4 linked regions of the Oryctolagus cuniculus genome follow. The protein of the gene in region 4 purifies or fractionates together with the protein of the main gene of each other region. This does not show direct contact. Links are inferred from orthologs where the notes say so. Each region holds a gene or a part of one and is shown on either strand. Other genes may lie near its edges.

Region 1 (4,500 bases), on a different chromosome or scaffold from region 4:
CCTGTAGGATTTCATCTGTGCTGGCTGGTGGGGAGCACAGTGCTGGTGAGAAGTGAGAATGGTGTTGATCCTCCACTGTGTGGTTCCGAGGCTGAGCAGGCCGGCGTTGTGGCAGGTGTAGCGGAACCTGGGTCTTCTCCCTCGCAGGCTCTACACCCAGAGTGCCTACAAGAATGAGCTCCTGACCACCACTGTGCCTGAGATCCAGAGGACCAACCTGGCCAACGTGGTGCTGCTGCTCAAGTCCCTGGGGGTGCAGGACCTGCTGCAGTTCCACTTCATGGACCCGCCACCAGAGGACAACATGCTCAACTCCATGTATCAGCTCTGGATCCTCGGGGCCCTGGACAACACAGGTGTTGCAGCCCCAGGAGCTGGTGGGGCCTGGTGGGCACTGGTGCTGGCCTGAGGTGCTCCTCGTCTGCTGTCTCATTGAATCTGGGTGTGCTCCTCTCCAGGTGGTCTGACCTCCACCGGGCGACTGATGGTGGAGTTCCCGCTGGACCCAGCCCTGTCCAAGATGCTCATTGTGTCCTGTGACATGGGCTGCAGCTCCGAGATCCTGCTCATCGTCTCCATGCTCTCGGTTCCCGCCATCTTCTACAGGCCCAAGGTGGGGCATCCATGTTGTCTCCGCGGCCGGCCCTGTGAGGGTTAAGAGGGGAAGAGCTGCTCTCTGCATCATGAAATGGAGTGGAGAGGCAGGAATCAGCTTCCAGAGACTGAGTTTGCTGTCGGCCGTTAGCAAGGTGGGGGAAGGGAAAGATGGACTGGATCAGGGAGCCATGGGGAACTTCGCAAGAGCATCTTTTATCTTTCGTTTGCTTGTGCCTGAGCCCTCACGTCAGAGAGTAAATCTTTCATTGTAAATGATCTCCTCTCCCCTGTGTGGTTAGGGGTGTGCTGAGCAGGCTGGACGCCACCGTGCTCAGGGTAAAGTTCCTTTTCCCTTGCTAGGGCCGCGAGGAGGAGAGCGATCAGATCCGGGAGAAGTTCGCTGTCCCCGAGAGTGATCACTTGACCTACCTGAACGTTTACCTGCAGTGGAAGAACAACAATTACTCCACCATCTGGTGTAACGACCATTTCATCCACGCCAAGGCCATGCGGAAGGTGGGCGACTGCAACCCAGATGGCAGCATGTCAGGATAAGGGGTGGCGGGTGGGGCACGGAGGGTTCCATCTTGGCCTCCTCGTCATGCTGCAGGTCCGCGAGGTGAGGGCCCAACTCAAGGACATCATGGTGCAGCAGCGGATGAGCCTGGCTTCGTGTGGCACGGACTGGGACATTGTCAGGAAGTGCATCTGTGCGGCCTATTTTCATCAGGCAGCCAAGCTCAAGGTGAGCTCTGGCCGTCTGGTGGGACTGTGGCACCTTCTTGGCTGATACCTGGATGAGGACAAAGTTCTTCCTATCTCATGGTGCATTTCTGCAGGGCTGGGCTTCCTCCAAAGTCTGTGTGAGGATGGTGTTAAATGATGGGGCAGCTGCCCAATCAGGCCACTTGTTCCTGACATGGCCACCTGTTGTCTTTCCTAGGGAATCGGGGAGTATGTGAATATCCGCACGGGGATGCCCTGCCACCTGCATCCCACCAGCTCCCTCTTTGGAATGGGCTACACCCCAGACTACATAGTGTACCATGAGCTGGTCATGACCACCAAGGTGAGGCTTTTCCAAGGTGTTCCCATACACAGGCCTACCTACTGGGCCACGAACTTTGGGCTTAGGAGACTTGAGGCCTTGTGCATTGCTTTGCATCTGGGGTTGGTTTTCAGCTGGGATTTTGGGGAACTGTTTTTGGCTCATCTACAGATGAGCCTGTAGAATGCAGAGGCCTCAGTGGAGCCTGCAGGGTTGTTTCCTGTTTGCTGCTTGGGCTGGGCCACCCCTGTTGGTGTCATCAGAAGGGTTTGGCCCTTTCTCAGACACTACTGGGGGCGGGGAGTGGGGTGTGTGTTTTCTCAAGTGTGGAGGAATTTGGATGGGAAATGGGATTACAGTTCCACTGCTTGGGCCTTTCTCCTGCCTTTCTCAGCCCTGCAGGGCCAAGGCTGGGGCCTTTTTCGTATGGTTCCTCATTGTGGAACCTTCTAGGAGGGACACTGGCCCTCCCGTGACCTCCACTTTACTGCCCTTGTTTCTGCAGGAGTACATGCAGTGTGTGACGGCCGTGGATGGAGAGTGGCTGGCAGAGCTGGGCCCGATGTTCTACAGTGTAAAACAGGCAGGCAAGTCGAGACAGGTAAGACCCTGTGCTTGCCATGGAGGCACCGTTTGCCCATGGGGCTGACTGTCCCTCAGCTCGTCACCATCTGACCCCTTATTTCTCTCTCAAACCTGAAAACTGGGATCTGGCCAGCCTGGTCTGATTCCTTTAACCACCCAACTCCAGTGGCTCTGTTGGCTGAAAACAGTTTAAGAAGTTCATGTATTGAAATTACTGAAAAGTCCAAATAGTCATGCAAGTAGAAAAAAGCAGTGTAATGAGCCACCCTGGATTTGTCACCTTGCCCCCCTAATTGTCAGTCAGTCTTCACATGTTCTCACTCCCAGCCATATCTGCTTTAGTTTCCTGGAGTATCTTAAGGCTTCTCTCAGATGCCATGTTGTTTCTTACATAAATACTTGCGTGAGTCTCTGGCTGAAAGGACGTTATGACCCCCAACAAGATGCACCTTCAGTGTCACCTCTCTCTAGACCTTATTCAGATTACCCTTTTTTTCTGACTCACTTGGCTTGAATTAGGAACTGAACGTTGCCATTGGTTATGCATGTTCTCTCATTCTAGGACAGGCTCCACCCTGTCCTTTTTTTAAAAATGACATTGATTTATTGGAGTAATCAGGTCATTTATAGAATACTGATGTAATTGGTTGAGGGCTTCTTCATGGTGGTGTTTAACCTGTGCCTCTGTTGCATGTACTTTCTGTGACCTACTGTAACCTAAAGGCTTGGTAAGGTATGGTTCAGTGATGTCGGGCAAAGATGCATGCCCGTGGTGTTGTGAACTTCCTTTCAGAGGACATCCAGGGATGTCAGCCTAGTCCCTCCATTCTCAATTCTCTGCCACTCCATCTTGAGGTTGTCACGTCCACTGACGACTGCTGCTAGGATCCATCCTTAGGGTTGCCAAGTGCTGCGGGAATTTGTTTGTCCCTTCTAGCATGGGCTTCCCCACACTGGGCCTGCACGTTTCTTCAGTTCGTCCTTTCCTGCCAGGTGGTAATGTCTTCCTGACATTGTGAACTTGGTGAAAAACTAAGTTCTTAAGTGAATTGAGGCATGACTGGTTAGACAGAATCATCCAGCACCTGGAATGGATCTGTGAAAACAGCAGATCTCAGCTGCGGGCAGGAGCCGAGTGGCCACTTCCTCTAGAGCTGGCGTGGTCATCGTAGCACCTGTTCACGGCAGAAACATGAGTGCAGACAAGGTCTCCTGGTGGTCCCTGGTGGACTCAGCCACTCCCATCCCCCTTGTCTAGGAGAATCGCCGTCGGGCCAAAGAAGAAGTCTCTGCCATGGAGGAGGAGATGGCCCTGGCTGAGGAGCAGCTGCGAGCCCGGCGGCAGGAGCAGGAGAAGCGCAGCCCCTTGGGCAGTATGAGGTGAGCTCTTGCCCCTGGGAGGCCGCCGGCCACCAGGCCCTGATGTAAGAGAAGGTGACTGGGTAAAGGTGACCTGTCAAAGTGACTTCTGCGTGGGGTAGTCACACGTGGAAGCACGGGAGGCGTTCCAGACAGTTTGAAAGGCTTGGTTTGACTTCTGCAGCTGCAGCTGTCCTGTGCTGAGGCCCTGTGGGCGGGGTGGCAGGGCGGGTCCTGCCGTCTTCCTGACAAAGCCGTGGGGTTGGAAAGCTTCCCTCATTCTTGCCTGGCCTTTCACACCTCTCAAGTGAACAGGGGGGTAGAGAGCTGGCTTTCTGCCTCTGTGCTGACCCCAGAGTTAGGCCAGACTTGGCAGGGTCAGGGTACAGTCCTCCGCAAGACAGCTCTCACTTCCAATACCAGTTGCCAGTTGGGAGGCAGCTCTTACTTTGGACCAACTTGCTACAAATTTGTGAATCCCGATGGATTCCCTTAGATTTAATAATTTGCTAGAAGGATTCAGAGACCTGAGGAAAGCACTCTACGGACCATTAGTTTTAGTGTAGCAAAAGGGTACAAGTCAGAATGAGCTCAGGGAGAGCTGCGTGGAGCAGGTGAGAGAGGGCTCCCGCGGAGTCGCTTTCTGTGTCAGCAGGGCTCGGGTGCCTTCTCACACATCGGCCTTTAACAGTACCCACTGGGCGAGGCCAGTCGGGGAAGGTCACTTGGGTGTCAGCATCCAGAGTATTTACTGGGGTTTTGTTACATAAGCATGAATGACTGGATCATTGTCAAGTGGTTGAACGTGGTCTCCAGCTCCTAAGAGGTCAGGCTGTTACCACATGGCTCAGAGCCCCAACTCTGACACTTGGTTGGTCTTTCTGGCCAGGCTGGCCTGTCTTGACTCATCT
Region 2 (4,500 bases), on a different chromosome or scaffold from region 4:
ACAGCTGTAGGGCAGGCCTCGGCTTTCTCAGCCAGGGCCCATCGCCACACCAGGGTCACCAGGACTGCCCGTCCCCAACACCGAATTCCCCAGCTGGAGACGCGGCTGGACACCACGCACACCCAGCAGGTGCCAGGCCCGAGACCGAGGGAGGGTCTGGCGGGAAAAGCAGCAGCAGGCCTGAGTGGGGACCGGGAGTGCGAGTGGCGACCTGGCCGCAGAGTGGGCCCCGGTCCCAGTCGTCATTGTCAGGGACGCGCACTTGGTCCTCAGATCTTCCCATCCCGAGACGACATGTTACGTGTTCAAATCCGGCTGCCTGTGCTAACGGGGAGCGGTGAACCACCAGGGCCGTGACGGGCGTCTGCGCCGTCACCTGCCCGTGGACTCCGGGCTCCAAGGAACCCCTTCGCGGAGTCACCGTGGGTGGACACCCCCGCGGGGGAGGAAGCCCCTCCGCCCCGCAGAGCCCAGTCCCTGGGCTGCCCTGTGGACACGGGTCAGGGTGACTGGGCGGTGCCTGTGCAGCCTGGGAGGCCAGGGGCACCAAGTCTGAAAACACCCTCCCCCCGTAGCAGAAAGCTGGCCCTGCAGGGCCGGGGGCGCCAGGACCCCCAAGGCGGGCTGGCCCCGCGGGGAGGAGCCCAGCAGGGATCCCGCCCTTCTCTCGCTCTCACACTGGCGTCCGCCGACCGCCGGGTCTCCCTGGCAGAGGCCAGACTGCATACCCCAGGGGTCCGGGGACCTGCCCCATTCGCTTCCAGGTGCACGCGTGAATGCGTGAACAAACGCGGGAGTCCATGGAGCCCCCACTTGCACGGTAGGGCGCGGAGGGGCTCGGGGAATTCACACTGCGCCCTGGGGTCGGCCCGGCCCACCCCCCGCCCAGCGGAGCCCTGGAACCTTCACCACGACCAGGGAGGAAAAATAAGGAGGGAGCTTTATTTACTACGGGGGGGGGTGGGGGGGTGGGGGGGGGAGGCCGGCCTCACTTGGTGATGGTGTTCCTGCGAGAGAAACGAGCGCGTCAGCAGAGGGGCAGGTGCCCCGGCCCCGCCCTCCGGCCCCGCCCCGGCCCCACCCTCCGGCCCTGGCCCCGCCCGCCCTCCTGCCCAGGCCCCACCCTCCGGCCCCGCCCCCTCTGCCCCTCCGGCCCCGCCCCCCAGCCCCACTCACGCGTTCATGCTCTTGCCGCTGCCGCTGAGCACGATGTAGGGCGTCTTCTGGGCCTTCTGCTTCTCCTGCAGCAGCGCCACGGTGCCGAGCGGCGTGTCGCTGGAGCTCATCTTCTTCAGGAGCTGTGGGCCGGCCGAGGTCAGCGCGCGGCCCGGGGCGGGGCCCGCCCGCCGCCCGCCCGCCGCCCGCCCTCACCCTGCACCCACCGCCTCCTCGTCCAGCTTCTTCATCCGCCGCTCCGTCTTCATCTTGCCCGAGCCCTTCCCGTGGAAGCGGTGGGACAGCTGCCGGAAAGCCTGGGGACACAGGGCGTGGCGGGCAGCTGCAGGGGCCTGGCGCGCCTCCACAGGCACAGGGCCACCCCGCGCTGGGCTGAGGCTGTGGAGGGGGTGGGCGAGGCCCCGGCATCGTGGGGACCCAGGCGGGGTGTGGGGGGGGGGCGTGGGGCCGAACAGGTGCAGGGACCCAGCGCTGCCCACGGAAGGCAGAGGTCCCGACAGCTCACTGGGTCACCCCCACCCCGTGGGCCAGGGCCCCGCTCACCTCCTTGGGCGTGAGCTTCCGGCCCGTCTCGTCCACGTACTCGATCTTCACGTCTGGCTTGTAGCCGTCCTTCTCCTTGAAGTCCTGGGTGAAGCCCCGGTACTCCTCCCGCCGGCTGTACTTGTCATCGATGGCCCTGCGCGCGGCGGGGGCGGGGCCTCGGCGTGAGCCCCCGCCGCCCCCCGCAGCCCACCCGCCGCCCCCGCGCCCGCCCGCGGCCGCCGCCCCCGCGCCCGCCCGCTCACATCTTGTCCTCGATGCAGTACACGGCCGAGGGCAGGGACTTGTTGGGTGCTTTCACCCGCGCCACCTTCTGCACCGTGGTCTCCAGCAGCCCTGCGGACAGAGGCCGTGAGGCTCTGGACGGGCAGCCTCGGGGCAGCTGGGGGAGCCGGCGCCGGGGGGGGTCAGGGCGTCAGGCCCGCTTTACAGACAGAACTGAAAACAGCCCCGTGCCAGGGCCACCGGCCACCTGGGTGCTGACCCGTGTCCAAGCCAAAGCCACCGCCGTTTCCCCGCCCCCGTTCCTCCCAGACAGAGCCCTGAAGGCAAAGCCGCAGGGACGGGTGCCCGGGGCCGCCCTGCATGGGGAAGGGCGACGGCTCAGGGCTTGGGACTGGCGAGGAGGCGGCGGCGGGGGGGGGGGGCAGCAGAGGACAGGACCGCGCCACCCAGGGCCTCCCAGCCCCACCCCCCAGCTCCGGGGCCCACCTTTGTTCTGACACAGGAGCAGGGCAGCGGCCAGGCCTCTGTTGACGATGGGCTCCTCGTCCAGGATGGTGGTGGAGGAGGCAGAGAACTGGGGGAGCACGGGGTGGGGGTGAGCGGAGCACCGGGCCCCTACCCCTCCCAGCCCAGGGCCCCGCCCTCCCCGGCAGCGCCCTCACGTCCTGCTGCTGCTTCTCCTCGTCCAGGTTGACCGTGCTCCAGCCAATGTTCTCCTCCCCGTCGGATTCGGAGCCGCCGTGAGCTGAGCGCTCCTCGTCTCGCTCAAAGTCCTGGGGCCGGAAGTGCAGGTCAGCCGGGCAGCCCCGCCCCGCCCCGCCGGCCGCCCCCTCCCGGGGACAGAGCAGGCCCGGGCGCACCATGAGCTCCTCCTGCTCCTCGCGGTTGCCGGCCAGCCCGTAGGTGGGGATCTCGCCCAGGGTGCGGCAGAACTCGGAGGTGGCGTTGAACACGATGGCGCCCTTGCGCTCGGGGTCCTCGTCCTCCTCCCAGCCCCGCTGCCGAGACTCCAGCTTCCTCACGATCTCCACCACCTGGGGGAGGGAGCGGCTGTGGGCAAACCCAGAAGGTCCTGGGGTGACGCCATAGAGACCAAGGGACCCACAGGCCCGCCCTCATGGCAGCAGGCCACTCCCACCACGCACACGCCTCCAACTGGCCGCTCCTCCCGTCCACCTGTGCACCTCCTCCCGTCCACCTGTGCACCGGGCCGCTGCTCTGCGCCACAGCCCTCCGTGGCCGCCTACGCTGAACTAATCCAGGATCCTGCACGCCCCTCCCCTGACGAACTCCCACAGCCCCTCCTCCAGAGCCCCCCCCCCCCCGGGGCGCACGGCGGCCATCCTGCCACTCACGACTCCCAGTCTGGCCTCTTGCTCCCACCCTGGGCACCACACCTTCTGCCCCCCTCCTGGCACGGCAGATGCTCGGCCGCACACACACGAGGGAGGACCCCTAGGGTCTCCCCTCTCTAAACCCCCAGCTCCCGTGACCACAAACTCCTCGGAGAAGCTTCTAGACACTACATCCACTTTTGCACCCCCTTCCTTTCACTTCCCCCCCACAAAGACCTATTTATTTATCTGAAAGAGCCACAGAGGCAGAGGCAGAGAGGTCTTCCATCCGCTGGTTCACCCCCCAGGTGGCCGCAACAGCCGGAGCTGCGCGGATCTGAAGCCAGGAGCCTTTCCCAGGCCACAGCAGGGAGCTGGATGGGAAGTGGAGCAGCCAGGACTCGAACCAGCGCCCATTTGGGATGCCGGCACTGCAGGCGGCGGCCTTACCCGCTACACCGCAGTGCCGGCCCCTTCACTCTCACTACGTTTACTTTTTAATGAACACCATGAACATGAAAGGGCACATCTAACACATGCACAGCTTTTCAATAATAAAACGGGGCCAGCGTCGCGCACTGCCCCGTGGCCCGGCGGCCTGGATCCGAGAGCTGTGAGAACGCTGGCCGCTCTGCTGCTGCGCCAGCCCCTGCCAATGTGCCCGAGGGCAGAGCAGGCGCCAGTACTCGCACCCCAGCCGCCCACGGCGAGCCCGGATGGAGTTCTGGGTTCCGGCTTTGCTCTGGGCCGCTGCAGTCATTTGGGGAGAGCCCTGAAGGCAAAGCCGCAGGGACAGGTGCCCGGGGCCGCCCTGCACGGGGAAGGGCGGACGGCTCAGGGCTTGGGACTGGCGAGGAGGCGGGGCAGCAGAGGACGAGGACTGCGCCACCCAGGGCCACCACGGACACTGGCCTGACAGTTCCCATGCTGCCTGGGATGCCCACCCCCACACTGGGGCACCGGGGGCCGAGTCCTGGCTCTGCCCGACTCCAGCTTCCTGCCGACTGCGCCCTGGGAGGCAGCGGCCTCCCCTGCCCCCACGGGAGCCCCACTGAGTTCCTGACTGCGGGCCTCGGCCTGGCCCAGCCCCAAGTTCTTGGAGAGCGCGCCTGCAGGCAGGAGCTCTCTCTCAAATACCAAGTTTGAAGGTTAGACGGTGAGTTCCTCTGCGAGTCACACAGAACCCTTTCTGCGACAGCGCCGAGGCAGGGACTCACTCCCG
Region 3 (4,500 bases), on a different chromosome or scaffold from region 4:
CTGAATAGAGTTCCAGGCTCCTGGCTTTGGCCTGGCCCACCTGTGGCTGTTGTGGGCATTTGGAGAGTGAACCAGTGTAGATGGAAGATCTCTCTGCCTTTCAAGTAGATGAAATAAACAAACACTGGTGCCAGTACAGGGTGCAGTGGGTACAGCCACCGCCTGCAGTGCTGGCATCCCATATGGGTGTTGGTTTGAGTCTCAGCCACTCCCCTTCCAATCCAGCTCCCTGCTAATGCACCTGGGAAAGCAGTAGAAGATGGCCCAAGTGCTTGGGCCCCTGCACCCACATAGGAGAACCACAAGAAGCTCCCAGTTCCTGGCTTCAGATTGGCCCAGCTCAGGCCACTGTGGCCATTTGCAGAGTGAACCAGTGTATGGAAGATCTATCTCTCCCTCTTTCTGTAACTCTGCTTTTCAAATAAATAAATCTTCCCAAAAAAATTAAAAATATGTACCACTTGCTAAGAAGGAAAATAATCAACAGTCCAAAACTAACTGAGGCCTACAACAAAGACTTTTCACTCTCTCCACTTAAGAACAAGATCCCAGAGCCAGCTCTGTGGCACAGGTTAATCCTCCGCCTGTGGCACCGGCATCCCATATGGGTGCTGGTTCTAGTCCCAGCTGCTCCTCTTCCAATCCAGCTCTCTGTTGTGGCCTGGGAAGGCAGTAGAAGATGGCCCAAGTCCTTGGGCCCCTGCACCCGCATGGGAGACTGGGAAGAAGCACCAGGCTCCTGGCTTCGGATCAGCGCAGCTCTGGGTGTTGTAGCCATTTGGGGAGTGAACCAACGGAAGGAAGACCTTTCTGTCTCTCCTTCTCACTGTCTGTAACTCTACCTCTCAAATAAATAAAAAAGAAAAAGAAAAACCTAAAAAAAAAAAAAAAGAAAAGAAAAGAAAAAAAGAACAAGATCCCTTGGCACAGGTCTCAAATTGGAGCTCCCAGATGGGACACGCCACATCATGGATGAAAAGGAGCCAGAAATTGTTATGCAGCTTGATATCCACTGTCTATGCCAGGCTCAATTCATATCTCCACTCTAAAATATGGAAGGATAATTTATTTCACAAAAGCACTTTATGGGGCAGATGTTTGGCACAGTGGTTAAGTTGCCATCTGGGATGCCTACACCCATAGTGGAGAGCCTGGCTCAATTCCAAGTTCCTTCACTTCAATCTAGCTTCCTGCTAATGCACACCAAGAGGCAGCACTTGGGCCCCTGCCACTCATATGGGAGACCTGGATTGAGTTCCAGGCTCCTGACTTCAAAATGGCCCAGACCCAGCTGTTGTAGCATTTGAAGGATGAACCAGTGGATGGAAAAACTCTGACTCTGTGCATCTCTCTTTCAAACAAAATTAAAATGACAAAATTTTTAAAATCCTCCAAACAACAAAAGTACTAACTCCTATTACAAAGTAGCCACAGGCCCAGCATTGTGGCACAATGGATAAAGCTTCCACCTGTGACACTGGCATCCCGTATGGCTGCTCACATCTGATCCAGCTCCCTGCTAATGTTCCTGGGAAAGCAGAAGATGGCCCAAGTGCTTGGGCCCTTGTATCCATGTGGGAGATCCGGAAGAAGCTTTTGGCTCCTGGCTTTGTTCTGGCCCAGATCTGGCTGTTGCAGCCATTTTGGGAGTGAACCAGCAGATGGAAGATCTCTCTGTCTCTAACTCTGCCTTTCGAAAAAGTAAAATAAAAAAATGTTTAATGTAAAACAAATCTGTAAAAAAAAAAAAATGGAACCATATTTCTTCAGTCCTGGCCCTCACCGTTAAGACAGAAAATGACATTCAGGTCACAAACCACAGACCACAATTATGAATTCTGATGTTACTCGCTTTCCTTGGTTCTTCCCAAAAAGAAGCCTATTAAGGCCAAGAGACTGAGGGTTCTTCCCCTCACCATGGGTGACATAGTTCCCAGAGAGCCCTGTGAAAGCTCCCCCATCAATCAGCACCAAACCAGCCCTCTTGGACACACCGTGATGTCCTCCAGCGAGGAGTCAATGATCTCGTAGTTGTCTGGGAGGCAGTAAAACTTGAGGGTGTGGAGGTTGAGGAAGACATGATGGCTGAACTGGACGCTGTGAATGTAAGCATGAGACTTCAAACCCCGGCCTGTAGGGAAGGGTAAAAGGCTGTGAGACAAGGGCACGTCCTGGAGGGGCACAGATCAGGTTTGCTTTCCCTTTCGTCACCTTGCACTAGAACACGTTACAGTCAGCAAAAACAAAGCACTCTGCCATTCATGAAATGACTCTCCCACATGAACGTCTCTCATCACAAAAATTAGCAAGAAAGAATAGCACAGTAGTTCACTTCATTCCCTACACAGCGTAAGACATTAGCTAAGGAAACCCATTTCAAAATGAAAATGCATGTGATATATGAGTTAGTTTCATACAGGCCACAAGTCAGGAATAGCTCATGTGTACATGCACATACACACGGGCACACGGACGTATCCTGTGACAGTCCAACATTACTGAGTCCTGAGTCTCCTACTGTCTGTGTCAGGCCAATCCTGCACCCATGTACCCTCACTCAGTCTGGAACTCCTGGACTCTCCCCCTCTCCACCCATTCAAATCCTCCATGTCTTGCTAGTTCAAGTCCCACCTTACCTCCTCCATGAACTCAAGATAACCTTCCAGCTAACACTGATTTTTGCATAGTTCCTACTGTCCTTATTTTTACTGTGACACAGTCTAACAGTAATCTTTATTGTCTTGTAGCACTCAATGATTGTTTCATGAGTCAACTTTGACTCTTTATAAAAGCAAAAAATGTAGTTTGTATCTCTAAAGTAAAGAATGTAGTTTGTATCTCTTTTGAATTCTTCCCAATACCATGTATACAGCACTGGTATGAATGAGTGGAAATAAAAAAATAAAAAAAAAGTCCTTAGAACAAAAGCCTTCTCCAAAAAGATACACGTGTAGAAAACAGTAGAGATTCAGAAACCCAGAGTCTTTGAGATCATAATCTTTCATACAACTCATTCTTTCTTCCTTTCACATATATTCAGATTTTGACTGCAAAACTTCCTACTGGTATTCTAAAAGTACTCCAACTTCCTAGGAATAAAGATAGGAAATCTTACACAGGACTCCTGAAAGTAGTTTACTTTATTTCAAAGCAACAACAAAGCTCACTGGAATACACCTGCAATTGGCTCTGAAAACTTAACAATTTTATAATTTATAACGTTTATTTACCCTGAAAGTACTTGCCACACACCAAACAGGCATACGCGTTGATATGCGACAGGGAGATGGAACACAGTTTCTCAAAGTCAAAGTCTAGCACACTCCTATAAAAACCAAAACAGAATAGAAAAAATAAAAATGATTAGGACTGGACACCTGGGAGAGCATCCAAATGACCCAGCCTTGCCTCTACATCCCACAGTGTTACACAGCATCATTCGGAGAACGGCTTGGCGGCCATGAACACTAGTGTTCCCCACCTCCACCACAGTGCCCCGAGCAGCATCAGGGGTCTCCACAACACACAATGCCCATGACCTTCTTTCTTACTAGTATTTGTAACCAGCCACTTTCTCTGGAGGGAAAGCTACAGCAGAACTAAAACTAAAGTAGCAGGGCCCAAGAGTATTCTGTGGATGAGAGGACATGAACAGAGTGAATAAACCCTTTTATAAGAGAAAAATGGAATTTTGCCCATAAAAATAAATGGCAAGTCTAAAGACTTTTAGGAGAACAACTACAAACAGGTCCATTTATTCAAGTGCAAGGTAATAGTATGTGAGTACTGGGTAATGAAGAATAAAAAACTACCTCCACGGAATCCATGGATAGCAAAAGGAGCACTGCTGACGTATTAACTCTTACCGACTATGATCCCACAGAACTGCACTACCTAATACAGGGGTCACTAGCAACACGTGGCTATGGATAATTAAACTTTAGGTAACTAAAATTAAATGAAATCTGAAATTCAATTCTTCAGTTGTATGGTATAGAAGCCACATTTCAAGTACCCAATAGGCGTATGTTGCTCAAGCTTTCCTTGCTGGACAGTCCTTCCCAAGGGCAATTCCATTACTGCTCAAAGCTCTGTAGGCAGTGCTACCCTGGGACACAGGCTGGAAGGTATCCAACATGCCACCTCCGACTCAGTGAAAAAAATAGCATAACGAGGTGACTATTTCTGCTTTCAAGAAAATTTTTGTTATCTTCCTACTGAGTCCTAGGCACCCAGAAAAGTACCGCGTATGTAATCGGTACTCAATAAATACTTAAATTTGCTACTACAAATTATTACAACACACAAACTCAACATGAGCTAAGAGCTCTTCATGCATATGCCCACCCTTAAACAACATGCTCTCTGACGTTTCTACAACACGTATTCTACCAGTTTAAATGAAGAACAAGTTCAAGTCCTGGCTCCACTCTGGATCCTAGCTTCCTGTTAATGTACATCCTGGGAGGCAGCCTTTACTACTAAAGGCTCAAGTAGCTA
Region 4 (4,948 bases):
CTACAAGGCAGGGCCGGCCCAGGTGGCCCGAGGGGCTCTTCCAGTGGACGTGAAGTTCACACCCCAGCGACGGGAACCCCCAACGCCGCAGACAGACGCATCAGGGAAAATGTTGGGGCTTGGGCTGACCTTGGCTCACCTAGCCCCTTCCTAAGAGGGAGGAGAGCCAGTAGGGGGATTCCTGGGGCCAGCGCTGTGGTGTAGTAGGTTAAGCTTCCACCTGCAGTGCCGGGATCCCACATGGGCACAGGTTCAATTACCGGCTGCTCCACTTCCGATCCAGCTCTCTGCTATGGCCTGGGAAAAGCAGCAGAAGATGGCCCAAGCCTTTGGGTCCCTGCACCCACGTGGGAGACCCAGAAGAAGCTCCTGGCTCCAGATCGGCTCAGTTCCAGCCATTGTGGCTATTAGGGGAGTGAAACAGCGGATGGAAAACCCCTCCCTCCCTGTCTGTCTGTAACTCTGCCTCTCAAATAAATAAACCTTAAAAAAAAAGGGGGGGGGGGGGGCAGCGCTGTGGCACAGCAGGTTAATGCCCTGGCCTGAAGCGCCAGCATCCCATATGGGTGCTGGTTCTAGTCCCAGCTGCTCCACTTCCAATCTAGCTCTCTGCTATGGCCTGGGAAAGAAGTAGAAGATGGCCCAAGTCCCTGGGCCCCTGCACCCACGTGGGAGACCCGGAAGAAGCTCCTGGCTCCTGGCTTTGGATTGGCTCAGCTCCAGCCGTTGCAGCCAACTGGGGAGTGAACCAGCGGATGGAAGACCTCTCTCTGTGTAATTCTGACTTTCAAATAAATAAATAAATCTTTTTTAAAAAAATTAAAAAAAAGAGAATTCCTGCTCATCCTTGGTCTTCGAGACGTCCCACTAACACCTGCAATTCCTGGGCCCGGGGCTCAGGTCCCCAGCGGCTGTGAGGACAGAGGAGGCGAGGTCAGCACAGCGAGAAGCCCGCGCAGGCGCAGATCAGGGCGGGGCCCACACAGGACACCTGCCAGTCAGGGAGGCGGGAAACGAAGGTGAGGAGGGTTCAAGGCACCGGGGAGAGACCACGGCAGAGGAAAAAGCGTACAAACACATAACAGTCTGAAGGGCTGTGGAGACGGCCCCCGGCTCCTGGCCGTCAGCACAGCCGAGGCCCTCGCACACCACTAAAGGCATTTTATTGGGAAAAACAGAAATTGAAAAGTAGCCTCCAATCTTCTCCCTGCCCAAGGCAGCTGGGGGCCGGCTCCCCCAAAGTCCAGCAGAGAACGGGGGAGGTGGGGGGGGCGCCCAACTGGGCCCTCCGCAGGCTCAGGTGTAGAGGTCGAAGTCGATGCGTTTGGAGTTGTAGAACTGACCACCCGGGGGATCCAGCTTCCGGCAGTAGACTCCGTCTGGGAAGTAGCCTTCGCTCACCCAGGTCTGCAGGTAGACAGGGCGGGGCTGACACGGCGGGGCGGGGCGGGCCGGGGGTGGGGCGGGGCGTGCGGGGGAGGGGGGGGGGCGCTCACCTGCATCTGGGCACTGGTGAAGGGTCCGTAGAGCTCGGCCTCCCCGGTGTTCTCCCACTTATATTCCCACATCACGTCCACCAGGCCGTCGCCCGCCGACTCTGCCTCTGCAACCAGAGGCGGAGCCGATTGGAGCTCCACTGCCCGGCCTCCAGTCCACACCGCTGCCCCTCCTCTGCCCTCCAAAGCTCACCTTCTCTCTGGGGAGGGGTCGGGGTCTCCAGCTCCCCCTCAGCCACCTCCTCCGCAAACATGTCCAGGGAGGGCGGGGGCGTGGAATCCTGGGCCCCCTGGGTCCGACACCCCAACCCCTTCAGCCGCATGGCCAGGCGCTCTCGAGTTTCCTGGTAAACGCCAAGGTTGCCCCGGGCCACCATCTGGTCAGCCAACCCAGACAGCCGGTCCAGGCGCTGGGGGGAACTGGGCCGCCCGGGCCCCTTGCTGTTCCCTTTGCCCCCTCCTCGGGCCCCCAGCCGCCTCAGTGCCCCGGCCACTGTCTCCCTGGGCAGCAGCAGCTCTAGAAGTCCCTCGAGGAGGGCTTGGGCGCTCAGTGGTGTCTGGCCCAGGCTGTCCTCCTCCTCCGAGTCTGAAGCCCGGCGCTGATCCGGGGGCCGCTCCCTGATCTTCACCTAGAATGCAAGAAAGGGGTCAGGGTCGGGGGCTGCAGGGGGTTGTTTCCTACAAACCTGCTCCAGGAGCCCAGATCCAGCCCCCCCACCCCACCCCAGCCGTGCTGAGCCCTGGGCCGCACCCAATCAATATTGTCCAGCCAGCTGTCCTGGATTTGAGCGTCCCGGTTCAGGAAGTAGTTGCCATCGGCATCAAAGTGGCCTTCCTCCATCTCCTCCTGCAGGTTGAAGGGAGTGATGCGCACCCCTCCCTCACTGGGGAGCGTGGCTGCTTCCTGACCTGCATCAGAGACAGAGTCGCCCCATGCGAGGCATGCAAAAAAAAGAGAGAGACAGGAACCTCCCTCCCTCAAGTCCCCACTCGTCCCTCCCTGGGTGCTACTCACCTTCCACATCCTCTGAGGCCAGGATGTCATACTTGCTGGACCCCTCGTCGTCATCATCCTCTTCATCGCTGTCCAAGGAGTGCTTGCCTTTGAAGCGGCTCCCGGGACCCCCGGGCCCAGTCACGGGGTCCACCAGCTGAGAGCAGGAAGGGAGAAATGCAGAATTCTCAGCTCCTCCCAGACTCCAGCATCTGCACCCAAGCTGAGCACCCTCCAAACCCAGTCCTGGGGGACCTGCCCTCCTCTTCAGGCTCCGCTCTGCCTCCCCTCCCCCCAACAAAACGGTCTGGCCCCCTCACCTTCTTCCTGGGAACACTGACTTCATCCTCATCCTCGTCTCCCACGCCTTGGAAGGTCACTTTCCGCTTTGGCATGACGGGCCAGGGGGGCTTCCCTTAACCTGATGGGGGAAAAGTTGCAGAGGAAGCGGCCTGAGCGGGAGGCCACCCACTGCAAGAGAACCCTGGCCACAGGACACGCTTCCTGGTGCGTGCCAGGTCCATTGGGAGGGAAGAGCACAGAGAATCGGGGGCCAGAGCGGGAGCTGCAGCCCGGAGGCTCCCACGGCCTCGGCTCGCCATCCCAGAGCTAACGGAGCTGGGACGCCAGGCCAGACGCGGGGAGTATCCCCACCCCGACGACAGGGGCCCGGCTCCCCCACGTGACCACGCCCATATCCGGCCTCCGCAGTCTGAGCGCTACCGGGCTCGGCGGGCACACACACCCGCTCCCGCAACCCCAAAGCCCTCGGAGCCCGCGGGGCCCGGGCCGACCCAGGACCTGGCGCTCCCGGCCGCTCTGCTCCTCCTCCTCGCGCCGAACTCCCAATTCCACGTGGTTGACCCCCCAACTGTCCCGGGGTGTGTACAGATTAGAGGGCGGCACAGCCACGGGGACTCCGGCAGCCAGCCCCGCGCGCGCTCACCTGGGGATCTAGGGGAGGCAGGGGAAGAAAAGGAGAGATGCTTTCACCAGGGCTGTATCCGGGGCACCTGGCCGCCATCACCCGGAAGCGTACGGCGGAGGCCGGAAGTGGCTTCACTCCACTTGAAGGACTAACAGGAAGAGCGGGCGGAAGTAGGTAGTGAGCTAGGCGGCAACCTCCAACCCTGTCCCCCGCCAGGAGTGACGTGAGCCGCGCGGGTCTGCAGCGGCGAGGAGTGTGCGGGCGCCTAGACCCTGATCGGCGCGGAGGATGCCCCGAAGTGGCTTCGATGCCCTCACGCAGCCTCTGGGGGATGCAACTCCACTTAGAGGGGAGCCCAGGGTCAGGATGGAGGGGCAGAGGAGGAGCAGAGCCGATGGGTTCCAGCCCCAGGTGCCCCTTCCGGGGTTCGCACCACCGTTTCCCGCAGACTGGCCAAGTGCCTTACACTTGTCAGAGCTGCGCCCTCTCCTAGCGTGAGGCGCGGCCCTGCTCTTCTCCCTAAGGGAAGCCAGGCTCACCTGATGGCCTCTGAGGGCACTTGGGACACTTTCAGAACCCAGCCGCCTTTAGGACCCAGGGGAAATCACGTGCTCCACGCCTGTCCGCGGAGCCAGTTCCTGATTTCTGAGGCGGGGCAGCCACTGCTGCAGAGGTGGCATTGTCGCGGGTGCCCTGTGGCCAGCCCAGAAGCCCCTGTGCCTGCTCTCAGGTAGGCCTAGGAAAGGGCAATGGTCCCTCCGGCACCACAGCGGTGGGATGAAGCCCCCGCCCCCTTAGCAATCAGGGCCCAGCGACCCTGCCTAGGTGATGGGATTTGAGGCGGGGAGGTGGGCGGGCCTGGCCCTGGGTGGTGGGACAAGACAGCTAACGCCCAAGGGTGTGCAGGCCAAGACTGTGCCCAGGCAGAGCCTGCTGGAGCTAGGAGGGCGTGAGCATCCTCCCAGGCAACCAGGGGACCACTCCTCTCTCCCCCAGGGTCCCTCCAGGGCCACCACCATGAAACTGCACCGCAAGTCTGTGCTCAGTTTCTTCCAAGGCTGCAGAGCCCAGGCCCCAGACCAGGAGGGCATCTTGCTGAAGAAGGGGGCCCGAAACAGCAGCTACCAGCGCCGCTGGTTTGTCCTCCGTGGAAACCTCCTCTTCTACCTGGAACACCAGGAAGCCCACACTCCCCTGGGCCTCATCCTGTTGGAGAGCTGCCGGGTGGAGCCTCGCCTTAAGGCCGCAGAGCCCTTCGCCTTCACCATCGTGACCCCCGGGGGAGAGGGCACAGGGGGGCGGGCCTACAAGCTGGCCGCAGAAAGCCAGGAGGAGCTGAGGGCTTGGCTGTGGGCGCTGGCCGGGGTGAGCTGGAGGCGGCTGGCTAGGCTGCTTCCCCCCATGGAGGCCCAGTACCGGGAGCTCTGCCAGGCGGCTGGCCAAGAACCCAGGTGCCCCGCCGAGGACTGTGGCTTTCTAGCCATCCTCGGGCCCCACTCCAGCTTCCAGGAGCTGCACGAGCGCTTTGGG

Evidence for each region. Proteins that work in one complex are often made in the same cells at the same time.
Region 1: the proteins of CD2BP2 (region 4) and DHX38 purify together in Homo sapiens (affinity purification with mass spectrometry; 3 studies listed by BioGRID and IntAct, counting the BioPlex papers as one, with this or other methods). This does not show direct contact. The link is inferred for Oryctolagus cuniculus from reciprocal best matches to the Homo sapiens genes CD2BP2 and DHX38.
Region 2: the proteins of CD2BP2 (region 4) and SART1 purify together in Homo sapiens (affinity purification with mass spectrometry; 4 studies listed by BioGRID and IntAct, with this or other methods). This does not show direct contact. The link is inferred for Oryctolagus cuniculus from reciprocal best matches to the Homo sapiens genes CD2BP2 and SART1.
Region 3: the proteins of CD2BP2 (region 4) and USP39 purify together in Homo sapiens (affinity purification with mass spectrometry; 5 studies listed by BioGRID and IntAct, with this or other methods). This does not show direct contact. The link is inferred for Oryctolagus cuniculus from reciprocal best matches to the Homo sapiens genes CD2BP2 and USP39.

Annotation. Positions count from the first base shown.
Region 1 is NC_091449.1:55,169,657-55,174,156, reverse strand, and holds part of DHX38 (pre-mRNA-splicing factor ATP-dependent RNA helicase PRP16), read left to right. Parts: intron 1-147; coding exon 148-356; intron 357-458; coding exon 459-613; intron 614-957; coding exon 958-1,113; intron 1,114-1,207; coding exon 1,208-1,342; intron 1,343-1,540; coding exon 1,541-1,666; intron 1,667-2,150; coding exon 2,151-2,246; intron 2,247-3,488; coding exon 3,489-3,610; intron 3,611-4,500. UniProt on the Homo sapiens protein: Probable ATP-binding RNA helicase. Involved in pre-mRNA splicing as component of the spliceosome.
Region 2 is NC_091432.1:5,811,106-5,815,605, forward strand, and holds the end of SART1 (U4/U6.U5 tri-snRNP-associated protein 1), read right to left. Parts: intron 2,979-4,500; coding exon 2,805-2,978; intron 2,718-2,804; coding exon 2,607-2,717; intron 2,519-2,606; coding exon 2,431-2,518; intron 2,056-2,430; coding exon 1,965-2,055; intron 1,856-1,964; coding exon 1,720-1,855; intron 1,473-1,719; coding exon 1,383-1,472; intron 1,299-1,382; coding exon 1,177-1,298; intron 1,008-1,176; coding exon 989-1,007; 3' UTR 923-988; downstream 1-922. UniProt on the Homo sapiens protein: Plays a role in mRNA splicing as a component of the U4/U6-U5 tri-snRNP, one of the building blocks of the spliceosome. May also bind to DNA.
Region 3 is NC_091433.1:117,035,085-117,039,584, forward strand, and holds part of USP39 (ubiquitin carboxyl-terminal hydrolase 39), read right to left. Parts: intron 3,326-4,500; coding exon 3,231-3,325; intron 2,132-3,230; coding exon 1,995-2,131; intron 1-1,994.
Region 4 is NC_091450.1:6,706,411-6,711,358, reverse strand, and holds CD2BP2 (CD2 antigen cytoplasmic tail-binding protein 2), read right to left. Parts: upstream 3,567-4,948; 5' UTR 3,437-3,566; exon of another isoform or gene 3,292-3,436; intron 3,181-3,291; exon of another isoform or gene 2,912-3,180; 5' UTR 2,886-2,911; coding exon 2,811-2,885; intron 2,648-2,810; coding exon 2,512-2,647; intron 2,406-2,511; coding exon 2,248-2,405; intron 2,126-2,247; coding exon 1,690-2,125; intron 1,604-1,689; coding exon 1,497-1,603; intron 1,408-1,496; coding exon 1,297-1,407; 3' UTR 1,080-1,296; downstream 1-1,079. Other genes in the region: sesquipedalian-1, read left to right, coding at 4,436-4,948. UniProt on the Homo sapiens protein: Involved in pre-mRNA splicing as component of the U5 snRNP complex that is involved in spliceosome assembly.